Linked DNA regions of Kluyveromyces lactis. The protein of the gene in region 1 purifies or fractionates together with the protein of each later gene. This does not show direct contact. Links are inferred from orthologs where the notes say so. Each region holds a gene or a part of one and is shown in the gene's direction. Other genes may lie near its edges.

Region 1 (4,087 bases):
TTTGCTTCTTTAAATCTTATTTTTCTATACCCTAGCGCATGCATGATTTCATTGAATCTGTCTTTAGTCATGTATCTTGAGTTCGTCAAGCAAGGTAGAGGTATAACTAGAAACAAATACGTTTTCTTGTTACATTTCAGAAACTGTTTGAATCGAAGTATCATTTGGCCTCTTTGAAGGGGTGTCGGCACGAAATTCAATACAAGTGAGCATGATATCAGGTCAAATCTCTGCGATTCATCCTTTGGTAATGGTCTTTTCATGAAATCCTGCCTTTCAATATTTACAGTATCATTTGAGTTAAGATCAATCCTAACAACGGGATTAAAGAGACCACACACAGAAATATGATTTTTCGCACTAAGGGATCCCAATTCCAACGCATTCATACCCAGAGCTTTATCCACCCCGAGTTCTTTGCACCACTTTACCAATTGTTTAGATGAATCACCACCTCTGTTGGAATCCTGACCAACTGTACTAGCAAATTGGTAATTCTGCAAACCGCCATCTTCTTCAATTTCTCCACATATATAACCAAGAATTTGACATAATTGCTGACTGTGTTCAATGCTTTGCACATGAACAAGTAATTCCTCTAATCTTGGATTTGGTCGTCTAGACTTTTTGCCCTTATTAAAATCTTCCTGTAAAGTTTTATTCTTTCGGAAAAAATTCTCAATATTAATAGCGTTGGCCTCTTCATCGTTTTCTACTATATCACATCGCAGCTTGTTGCATATCACTCTTCTCTTCTGAATCAATAGATGGAAACGTCTAATTATCTTCCTGGCCTTGGAAGGTTTGATCTTCGGTACATGTTTCGCAACAGGTTTTCCAGTTATGGTCCTCTTTCTTCGAGAGAGCATTGGAACAACGTAATAAGATTTTTCACGTATAAGTTGAGGGTTATAACCCGAGTGGCCCTTACCTGTTTTGTTGAGAGATGCTCATCTCGCTTCAATACCATCATGTTTACCAGACGGTTATGTAAGAGTTGGACAGTTTTTAAGACATATCCGGGTAACATAAATAGAATCGTTTCTTTTCGACTTTCTAGAAAATCTTGAGAAAGAAGCTCCAAGAGATGAGATGAGATGAGATAGAAGAGATACCAGCATACGTGTGCATGAACAATAAGTTTCTCGGTAATTAATTGTTGTCGACCTCATTCTGTATAAGAAAAGGACAGAAATAATAATGGTATACGGTGTTTCAAAAATGGCGAATAAGAATCGCAAGAACTTGAAGCCTGTTAAAAGTGATAGGAAAGACCGTATTTCAAAGAATCATTCAAAGAAGAAGGTTAATAAGAATAGCCTTAAGAAAGTAGCCACTACAGATATCACTGTTAATGCTAATGAGTTGAATTGGAAGAGTGTTGATATTCCAGATACTTTAGATGATTTCGGTGGTTTCTACGGATTAGAAGAAATCGATGGTGTGGATGTGAAAGTTGTCGACGGTAAAGTCCAGTTCATCACGAAAGATAACAAGAACGTTAAGAAAGAGCCGGAGCAAGTGGAGGAAAAGGATAATATCGTTTTCCAAGAGGATGATGAAGATGTCAACATGGATGAATTAATTGAATTCAAGAATTTTGACGATATCAAGGAGGGTGAGTTAAGTGCAGCTTCGGATGATGAAGAGAGCGAGTTCCATGTGTCCACTGAAGAAGAAGGAGAAGAGGGAGAAGAAGCAGAAGATCAAGAAGAAGAAAGATCCGAGAAGGAAAATGTTAAGGGGGAAGCAGGTACTGTTGTCACTGAAGATCAAACAAATGATGACTTATTACAGAGCAACGTATTTTCCTCTAACGTCGATATCGATGATCAAGAGCCTCCAGTACTTCCTGAGTGGTCCGAAAATATGGATCTCTCATTCACAGTGCTGAAAGGACTCTCTGGGCTTGGCTTCACCAGGCCTACAGAAATTCAATTGAAATCTATTCCTTTAGCTCTGAAAGGACATAATATCATGGGTAAGGCTAGCACAGGTTCCGGTAAGACTTTAGCATATGGTATTCCTATCATTGAACAATTAATTAAAGACACATCAAATGATAGGTCTATCGGCTTGATATTTACCCCAACTAGAGAATTGGCCCATCAAGTAACTGACCATTTGCAAAAGGTTTGGACGAAAATGAATAAGCTTAACAAGTACACGATTCTTTCACTAACAGGTGGTTTGTCGATTCAGAAACAAGAACGTATCTTAAAATATGATGGTTCTGGTAGAATCATTGTGGCAACTCCTGGTAGATTTTTGGAATTATTAGAAAGGAACCCAGATCTGATTCCTAGGTTTGCCAAAATTGACACTTTAGTTCTTGATGAGGCAGACAGACTACTACAAGACGGACATTTCGATGAATTCGAGAAAATTTTGAAGTTATTAGGGAAAGCCCGAAAAATTAAAACAAGTATCGACGGAAAGCCAACTGGAAGTGGATGGCAAACAATGATTTTCTCTGCCACATTTTCATTGGATCTTTTCACGAAATTAGATAAAACTTCATGGAAAATCCTTAAAACAGCCGGTGGGGAGAACAATGAAATGGAACAAGTTTTAAATCATTTGATGAAGAAAATTCAATTCAAATCTAAGCCAGTTATTATCGATACTAATCCTGAACATAAAGTTACATCTCAGGTCAAAGAATCCCTGATAGAATGTTTGCCAATGGAGCGTGACTTATATGTCTACTACTTTATCATGATGTATCCTGGCACAACTTTAGTATTTTGTAACGCTATAGATAGCGTCAAAAAGTTGAATGCATTTTTAAACAATCTAAAGATTTCGTCATTCCAGATCCATTCATCAATGGCTCAAAAAAATCGTCTTAGGAACCTTGAAAAGTTCAAAGAACAATCAGAGAAAAATAGCAAGGTAGGAAAACCAACAATTTTAATTGCTAGTGACGTCGCTGCTAGAGGATTGGACATCTCGGGTATCAAACATGTTTTACACTATCACTTACCCCGCAGTGCTGACGTATATATCCACAGAAGTGGAAGAACAGCCCGTGGTGATAATGAAGGTGTTTCTGTCATGATTTGTTCACCACAGGAATCCATGGGACCTTTAAGAAAGCTCAGAAAGGTGTTATCTACCAAGAAGAGTAGTAACCCCAGGAAAACAAAATGGCAGAATGATGTCCCAATGTTACCACTTGAGCCTGACATCGTTTCTCAGCTGAGAGAAAGAAGCAAGATAGCGAGCGAACTTGCTGATGATGAGATAGCAACGAAATCACTACATAAGGATGATAATTGGTTAAAAAAGGCTGCTGAAGAATTGGATATTGAATTAGATTCAGAAGAAGAGGAAAAGGACCAATTTTTAGCTAGAAACAAAACCAAAAAGTTGAATAAACAGTTGGAAAAGAATGAAAATAAGGCTCTAAAATACCAGCTCAACGAGTTATTAAAAATGCCACTAAGAAAAGATTTAAGAAAAAGCTATCTAACAGGAGGTCTGACCAATCTCGCTGACACTTTAGTCAAACATAAAGGTCACAATTCCATTATTGGACATGATAAAGTGGATGCATTGCAAACACTCAAGGGCAAGAAGCATAAATGAAGCCCTTTATCTGCTATAGAGAAATAAAAATAGGAAAACATATATATTCCCAATACAACAGTCGTTGTCGGAGTGTGAAGAATGTTTGAATTGCATGAAAAATATGTAATGTCTTGCAAATACAACTTAATCAAATATATCTTGGTGATACTTATGATAAAGAAAAGAATGAAAAGAAAGATATATATTTATAAACACTATTTATACATCGCTTGACTGAAGAGGTTTAAATGAAATCGTAGTCATCATCATCTTCATTTTCATCATAATATTCATCATCTGAATCTTCCATCAATTGTTCGAAGTTGACTTTATAACGAAGTAGCGCACCAATACCACCGAAACCAGTAACGAATTGAGCACCTTCAGAGGATTTATCGGTAATGAATTCTAGATTGGCACCGTAGTTTTTGTAATTTTCCGCAAGCCATTCAATTAATGGTTGTTCAGAGACCAAGTCCATTTCTGCTCCGGTAGTTTTATCAAGAGAGTATGA
Region 2 (4,105 bases), on another chromosome or scaffold:
CATCATAGCATCGCTACAGCATTCGATGGAAAATCCAGAATTAGCTTGAACGGACAGCTTAAGAAGCTTTATCTTCCCCGTCAATTGCCATCATTGTTCCCATATCATAAGGATCAGCTTTATCATCTTATTACTTTTATCACGCCATTATTACCATTAGCACTCTATTTTTATTTTCATTTCAGTGAAATGATGATGAAAATCAGAAAAAACACAAAGACAAATGCCATTGCAGTTATTTTTTTATACGTTTCCTTTGTCCATTCATTAGGATACCAATTGTCATTGTCTTACGAATATATAGATATTCTTCGCTATCGCTACTTAGAAAGAAAATCTCGTTTGTCTTATTCAACTTTTGAAATGTACAAGTTTGAGTTATTTTTAGGCAGGTCAATGGGTTCGTATCTATGACCCTAATGTCCCTCTAAAACTACACCTTGTATTTCGAGGTAATCAACTCGACTTGAACCTCTTCTCTTGTATGCACAATGAAAAGAAGAAGAAGTATAGTAGAAGTATTCCTTTACCAAGAGTTGTTCTCAATACGTAACTTACCTTGTTCACCTCGAGCTGGTGCATCTGAAACCATGAGTTTCCAATCAATTCATGCAAATGCACGTCTATTTCTGCCCCAAGAATGTATATGTATGTGTGTCAATGCTTATTGATGCATGCACCATTGGCAACTAATGGCACCATTGGCTTCCACCATGCACGTCGTTTGTGCGGGTAATGGCGAGGTCCCAAAAAACATTCTTTAATTGGGATTGATTCCAGTAAAGAAATTCCAATGCAGAGAGGCGGATACTTGAGGGAAGTACATACATTGTGCAACTTTTGATTCAACTTACTTTCACGCTTTACCTACTCCTGAGCATGTCCATTGGCTCGTAACGCTCTCGGCAAACCATGTGACAAGCAGATTCCCCGCTTCTTGGTCTCACTACTACATAGAATGCTTTTGTAAATACTAAACGAGAGAGACAAACTCATTACCCGGATAATCGTTAATCACGTGATGAAAAGAAACGACAAAAATTTTCTACCTTTACACCAAAATCAAGCTCATCTCATCTCATCTCATCTCATCTCATCTCAACTCTTATTATGCGCTCAGACTGTGTTTGTTGATATACACAGAGGCCACTTCTCTGTTTGTCGTTTGATTGATCTATTGCTTGGAAAGAAGCAACACTCGATAACAAGTGCAAATCTGGAATGAGTCTTGATTTATCCAAATTGAAGGAGAAAGTGTCCTCCAAATTGGGAGCTTCAAAGGCCAAAGACACTAAGCCTAAGAAGAGTAAGAAGCAGGGCGAAAAAGAGACAGACGTTACTCCAGCTAAAGAGGAAACTGCTGTCACCAATGAAGAATTGATCCGTGAAGCTCTGTCTCTTGGAGCCTCTGAAAAAGATGTCCAGCTTGTTGATGGTGTTGACGACGATGCCAGTGAGATTGAATTCAATGAAGCCGATGAAGAAGTTGATGACGAGTTTAAGAGCGATTTCAGTGCTTTATTGAAGAATATGGGATTCGATAAACTACCTGAACCTGAAGTTGTAGAAGAACCAACAGTTACTGAGGATGCAGGCAAAGAAGAGAAAGATATTGAAGAGGAGGAGGTAGAAGTTGAAGAAGAAGAAGAAGAAGAGACGGTAGAGAAAGAGGAGGAACCACTTAGTCCTAAACCAGCAGAAAAAAAAAAGGAAGATCAATCCGACATGATCACTCAAACTCATATTGTTCAAAGTGATAAATTACTTGTTCCATCAGATTTGTTGTGGTACGAAGTTCCTTTGGACCCTGAATTAACAAGAGAACAGGATCCGCTAACGAAAGAACAGATAGATAAGTTATACCAGCGTGGTAAAGAGGCCTTAGAATTAGATAACACTAATTACTACGAAGAATTTACCAAGAACTCATCTCAACGTAAGTTTATGTCCCAGATCTTAAGCGATGGTACGTTGAACGATAAAATTAGTGCTTTGACTTTATTGCTACAGGAATCTCCATTGCATAATATCAAATCTCTTGATTCTTTGATATCCTTTTGCGGGAAGAAGTCAAGAAATTCCGCATTACAAGCTTTGAATGCTCTGAAGGATTTGTTCTTAAATGGTCTGTTACCTGACCGCAAGTTAAAATACTTCAAGAACCAAAACCTTTCCATGCTACTGAATAAGAGAACTTTAGCTATTTTATATTTTGAGGATTACTTGAAGGGTCTATATTTCAAGATTTTGGAAATCTTTGAGAAATTATCCCATGATCCTATCATCTATGTCAGAATGCAAGTGCTAACACATATCTTTGACCTGCTAACAGCCAAACCAGAACAGGAATTCAACTTGTTGAAACTTGGTGTTAACAAATTAGGTGACATTGATAACAAAGTAGCGTCAAAGGCTTCCTTCAAACTTTTGAAACTTGAAACTCAACATCCAAATATGAAATCAATTGTGGTAGACGCTGTTGTCGATATTGCCATAAGGCCTCAAGCTGACTATCATACTACATACTATTCCGCATTGACACTTAATCAAACAATTTTGAAACGCTCCGAGAAGAATCTAGCAAATCAGCTAATCAAGACCTATTTCACTTTATTCGAGAAATTCTTAATCCAAACTGATGCTGATAACGAGGAATCAAAGAGTGAAATCAAGGAATCCGATAAGTCATATGAAAAGAAGAGAAAGAAGAACTTCAAGAAGGGTAAAAAGGGTGGTAAGTCTGTCATTGAAGAAAAAAGTGCTCAAGAAGTTATCGAGGAAAAAAATACCAAATTATTCGGTGCTATTCTAACTGGTTTGAATCGTGCTTTCCCATTCTCTGATATGCCGGGATCCGTGTACGAGATACATCTTGATACATTGTTCAAGATAACACATGCGTCTAATTTCAACACTTCAATTCAAGCATTAGTATTGATTCACCAGGTTGTCGTGAAGACAAACATCACAAGTGATAGATATTACAAGACATTATACGAATCCCTACTCGACCCAAGATTGGTGTCGTCATCGAAGCAAGGTATTTACTTAAACTTGCTTTACAAATCTTTGAAAGATGATAAAGACATTGGAAGAGTGGATGCTTTCGTAAAACGTATATTGCAAGTCTGTGCCCATTGGTTGAACATCGGTGCCATTAGTGGTATGTTCTTTTTGTTGATACAACTTTCAAAGAGTTTACCGCAGATCAGAAATGTTCTAATCAACTCACCACTAGACTCTGTTTACGAATCTGATGACGAAGATTCCAGGGATAAAACTAAGGAAAAACCTGGTTACGATAGCCGTAAACGTGATCCAAAATATGCCAACGCTGAAAATTCATCGCTTTGGGAGATAAATCAATTCTTGTCCCATTTCCATCCTACTGTGCAGTCGTACGCACAAGGGTTCTTCGACGGTGACACTCAAGAAACAAGAGAGTTAGTCAAACCCGATCTTGGCCTATTCACGTTAGCCCATTTCTTGGATAGATTCGTGTACCGTAACGCCAAGCAAAAGCCAACCACTAGAGGTTCATCTATCATGCAACCTTTGGGAGGTGTACACACTGGTTCGTTATTAGTGAAGGCCAGCGATACCACATTGCACGAAGTACCTGCTAACACGGAGAACTGGTTAAGTAAGAAGGTGCAAGATATCAAGCCAGATGAAAAGTTCTTCTATCAATATTTCTCTACAAAGACTAATGCCATCAAATCTACCAAGTCAGGTGCAGAGGATGAAAACGGTACAGCTGAATTCGACGAGGAAAGCGATTTGGACGAAGATGAAATTTGGGATGCTTTAGTGAAGTCAAGACCTGACGTCGAAGGTGACGAAGAGGACAGCGATGTTGAGTTCAGTGAGGACGATTTCTCACAGGATGATTTCGGATCGTCATCCGAAGATGTCGATATTGATCTCAAAGACCTTGCATCTTCGGGAGACGAAGATGAGGCATCAGAAGCTGATCTTGAAGCTGAAGAAGGTGAACCAGAAGACATCAGTGACTTCGATCCAGAAGAGGCCAAATTGTTTGAAGATAACCTCGAAGACGAAGTAAAATCTGATGAAGATGTATTCTACAGTGCTGCAGACGACT
Region 3 (4,394 bases), on another chromosome or scaffold:
GAGTCCACCAAGAAGTGAAGTGAGACCCAAAATTAATACTCCTTCTAATGGCAGTGCTCCCCTCGAAGAAAAGGATGTGGTCCATGATGATACAAAGGTCACAAATGAAGTTAAGTTCTGATATATTTCGTTTCATTCGTTGTAACCATATATATATACATATATATTCATTTAGAAGTCATGTAAATGAAGTGAACAATTTTCACCAATTACAAAGATATTAGTTGGCACACCCTACAAAAATCTCTTGACTTTAGTTTCTTCTGCTGCGATGTTGTATTCACCAGGGTTCTCTACGATAACATGCTTCTCAGTAGAAGGTTTGAATGCTAATCTTTTCTGTTCTCTTTGTCTCTCATAATCTAGCCATTCCTTATCTACAATAATATCGTCAGAACCCTTCTTCATAGAATCACTATCTAATTTTTTCGTCGGAGCTGCGATGCTGCTATTTGGTTGATCGATATCTTTCATGATATCCTGAAAGATATCTTCCAGTGATTCTTCTTCAATTTGTGAATTCATGCCTTTTATTACCCTTTCACGATCAATAATCTCTTTGGCCGCACGTTCACGTATCATCTTAGCTTCTCTTTCCAAATCAACAGAATTACCCAGCTCATGACGAGCGAATAGCTTGTTAACTAATTCTAGTTCCTTCTCCGCATTGTAATTGAAATCGCCTTGCTTCGTACGGTCGATCAAATCCTGTAGAATCTTAATCTTCATCTCATATCTTCTAACCATATCAGCATGTCTCTGCTGTTGGGCTGAAACACTTGTTAACACAGATCCGAATATCAATAGTGAAATTAATGGTTTAATAGCTGACTTATCAAATCTGGACTTCTTTGCGCCGTTGGTTGCATTGGTTGCAACTTCTGAATACGCTCTTCTTGAGACTTTCAAAAACCTATGTGCGAACATCTCTCTTCGTGGATCCAATTAAACGATGTACTTCGAAGAAAAGTTAAAGATTTGACGAAGCTGTTCTGGAACTCTGGAAGTAACTCATCGATGTTAATCAATTCCAAGCTTTTCATTCTGTCAACCGATATTGTTTATATCTTTTGTAAAAATAGTACATAATTTGCATAATAAGCAACAATAAACGCTAATATCTATCCTTGAGTGACCTTATTGTTACATGTATCATATCCCAGCTATCTAAAGCAGCATATATAAGACTATGGATTGTCTTACAAGCAGGTGAGGGAATATGCAAGGTGATAAGTTACTATTAATTAATTATGTCACGTGAAAATCGCATGACGCCCCGTCATATTTGGAAAATTTGTTTCTTTTAGCGTAGAATGGAAGAAAAAAATGTTGATCAAGCTCATCGCATCGATTGGGCATATACAATCATCACTTTGTTTTACTAAAATCTATGTAAGACAGTAGCATTGGTTCATTTTAAAACTTCAAGAAAGTGTGCTGGTTTATTGTAATATATATAAGCCGTTAATATCTAGCGTTTTTTGAACAGAAACTACATTGTGTTTGCGCTATGAATAACGACGACGGCTCCATGTTAGGGACCAGAAAAAGGAAATGGAAACAGAACCTTCCAAGTGTTAGTAATGTGAGCAGTGGTTTATTTGATGACCTGCAGATTCTTATCAACGGTATTGATTTACTCAATGTTGATGTTTCCAATAATTACCGCCCTGTAGCTGAGTTTTTCCAAAAGGGACTTGCTGTGCAATGCACACAAGGTTGGTCATATTATGCACAGGTGAATGAACATGCTAAGTTTGCTGAAACTACTATAAAGCTCAAAAAACTAATTGCCATTTTGAATTCGAATACCAGTGTTGTGCAATACGGATCCGTTATTATCCGTGATATACTTAATAATTACTGTAAAGTTCTTTACAGAGGTATCAATAATCTGCGTCCTTCGATAACGAATTCAGTATTTGGGTTAATGACAGAGATTGTACAGTTTAATAAAGGCCAGTTCGTTGATGAATTTTTGTCATATTTCGATTTGACGTTGGTAGCATTGTTGAAGGTTTTGAATCCAAGAAAGCTTGATAACCCAGATATTGAAGCTACTAGGAAATCAACTCACATCTCTATGAGGTCCAACTTCGTTAAATTTTGGATAACACTAGTTAAGAACGCACCGGCGGTACTAAGGAAGGATATTCTCAGTGACAATCAGAAAATTATGACCGCGTGGGTTAAGAATATGGTTAAAATGGACTCTGTTGAACTTATCGAGGAATCTCTACATCTATTTATTGATTGCATTCTAAAAGAAACGAGTTTTAGGAAGATGACCAAGAGTAAGATTTTAAATGAGTTCGTTGTGAATAGGTTGCATGAGTTTTACTATTCTCCAAATAAAGCCATTGTTTCCTTGATAGATGAATTCTTTCAAATCTATGGTGGCGATACGGACTTTGGTGTCGTATTTACCGACAAAACTTCTTGGTTTGAGGATAGTTCAAACTTGAAGTCAGGCGTTCCTGTGGTAATTAACCAGAAGGTATTCAAGTTACACAACAAGTTATTATACACCACATTAACATTTTTTAAGCCATGGGAAGATGATACACAATGTAATACAGTCATAAAAATTTTAGGTAACGTCCCAGAGTTGGTGGCTCCTTACTCAACGTACGTGTCATCTATGGGATCACATGACCCAAAGATGACAGCTTATTGGTTTGGTATGACATTGTTTTTGGGTAGAATGATCAATCTTCCCATTCCAGAATACGTCGAAACAGTAGATTCTGATAGTCTTCCATCCACAACAATTGTCGTGGAGTCGATTATTCCTTCTACTTTAACGAAAACAGCTCTTACGAAATGTCTGCAAAACAAAGTAAATCTAATCAGACAGATGGGAAGTCAATTGTTGGTATTTTCATTGAAGAAATTGGATAAAGTGCTGGACTTGTACAACGAAAAGGGATGGGATAATTCAAAGGCAATGCTCTTAAATGCTTATTTTTCGTACTTGCCAGATTTACCCGTTTTGACGACAGTTTTGAATATCTTATACACGGAATCCCCAACTAACAAAATTTTACCTTTGTCCTTAACCGTTATCCTCAATTACTATAGTAAAATATTCCCAAACTTCTTCAACGTCAATTTACCAGCTAGCAACATATATGTTGATATTATGAAAAGTGATCAATTTTCAGGAATGGATTTGGTTATCCTTGATAATTTCATGAAGTTCCAGGAACTAAATAACTCCCAAATCAAGTGGTGGAATGCCTCAAATAACGAAAACTCTCTATTCACATCGCTTTTAAGGCTCGCATCTTCGAAAAACGCTTCATCAATCGTCACTTCTAGAATATCGAATTTACTATTCAATTTGGTACAGTTCAGTAATATTTTCAAGATGAAAGAGCTAATAAGTTCTCCAATTTCAGCTTTAATTAATAGTTTATCGCTTTTGTCAAGTACTGGTTCCTCTTTTTCCACCTCGGAGCACATGAAGATTTTGAAACTATTGGATGAAGCCATTTCTAGATGTCATAAGACTCCGTATAAGTATGTTGATATGGCAAGGCAATATGAGAATCTATCACCTTTCCTTTTGACACTTGTTGAACAATGGAAATTTGTCCAAATTGATAACCCAAAAGAGTCAGTTATCGTCAAGTGGTTACTTATATTTTTCAGAAATATGCTGGTGCTAGGAGAGTCTGAAGTAGGTATTAGAAATCTACTTTCTAACGTTGAAAGTATACCTCATAATCTTGTCGAATTGTACTTATCCTTTACTGACGAGATCATTAAGAAAGTATCATCTCCGGAATACCTTTTGTTTTCAAATGATTCAACTTCTAGCTATGATCACATTTTGTTGCAATATTCCCCGAAGTTAAGCAAAATGAGCAGATTCCCTGTGAATTCTTTTGATGTAGCTGCTATTATTTTCCGTCTAAAGAAAACGATGTCAGGCAGTTTACTTTCTACGCAGGTACAGGAAACTATTGATAACCTATTGTCCAAGGTGGGTAATTATGCATTAGGTGATATGAAGTTTAAGAAACGTGTCGTTAAGAAAAGTTATTTTTCTCATTTGTTTGATGGTGAGTTGCCTAATATAGACAGCGATTCATTTGACTTATTCTTATACGTTGTTAATGGCCTTCAACAAATTTATAGTCAGCTCGATATTGAGTATGATGAATTCAGCAAATATGCCTTTGATTTATTCAAGACAATTGCTGCTTCTGAAAAATCACAGCGCAGAACCATTGCGCTGGGAGTTTTAAGCGAAATAGTTTCAGCCGAAGATGTTATCAAGTGTTTGCATATGATAGATAATTATTCTGAAACGGTTTGTAGGCAGTTGCTTCAAAGATGTCTAGTAGAAAATGTCATTGTTGATGTTGAGATCTTTACGAAAATCCTCG

Evidence for each region.
Region 2: the proteins of MAK5 (region 1) and MAK21 purify together in Saccharomyces cerevisiae (affinity purification with mass spectrometry; 5 studies listed by BioGRID). This does not show direct contact. The link is inferred for Kluyveromyces lactis from reciprocal best matches to the Saccharomyces cerevisiae genes MAK5 and MAK21.
Region 3: the proteins of MAK5 (region 1) and URB1 purify together in Saccharomyces cerevisiae (affinity purification with mass spectrometry; 4 studies listed by BioGRID). This does not show direct contact. The link is inferred for Kluyveromyces lactis from reciprocal best matches to the Saccharomyces cerevisiae genes MAK5 and URB1.

Annotation. Positions count from the first base shown.
Region 1 is NC_006039.1:966,571-970,657, reverse strand, and holds MAK5 (ATP-dependent RNA helicase), read left to right. Parts: upstream 1-1,200; coding exon 1,201-3,591; downstream 3,592-4,087. Other genes in the region: BMT2 (25S rRNA (adenine2142-N1)-methyltransferase), read right to left, coding at 1-869; SUP45 (translation termination factor eRF1), read right to left, coding at 3,818-4,087. UniProt on the Saccharomyces cerevisiae protein: ATP-binding RNA helicase involved in the biogenesis of 60S ribosomal subunits and is required for the normal formation of 25S and 5.8S rRNAs. Required for the maintenance of dsRNA killer plasmid.
Region 2 is NC_006041.1:1,107,985-1,112,089, reverse strand, and holds the start of MAK21 (RNA-binding ribosome biosynthesis protein MAK21), read left to right. Parts: upstream 1-1,221; coding exon 1,222-4,105.
Region 3 is NC_006041.1:1,618,027-1,622,420, reverse strand, and holds the start of URB1 (Urb1p), read left to right. Parts: upstream 1-1,510; coding exon 1,511-4,394. Other genes in the region: DAL81 (Dal81p), read left to right, coding at 1-121; INA22 (Ina22p), read right to left, coding at 235-927. UniProt on the Saccharomyces cerevisiae protein: Required for 60S ribosomal subunit formation and pre-rRNA processing. Required for normal accumulation of 25S and 5.8S rRNAs.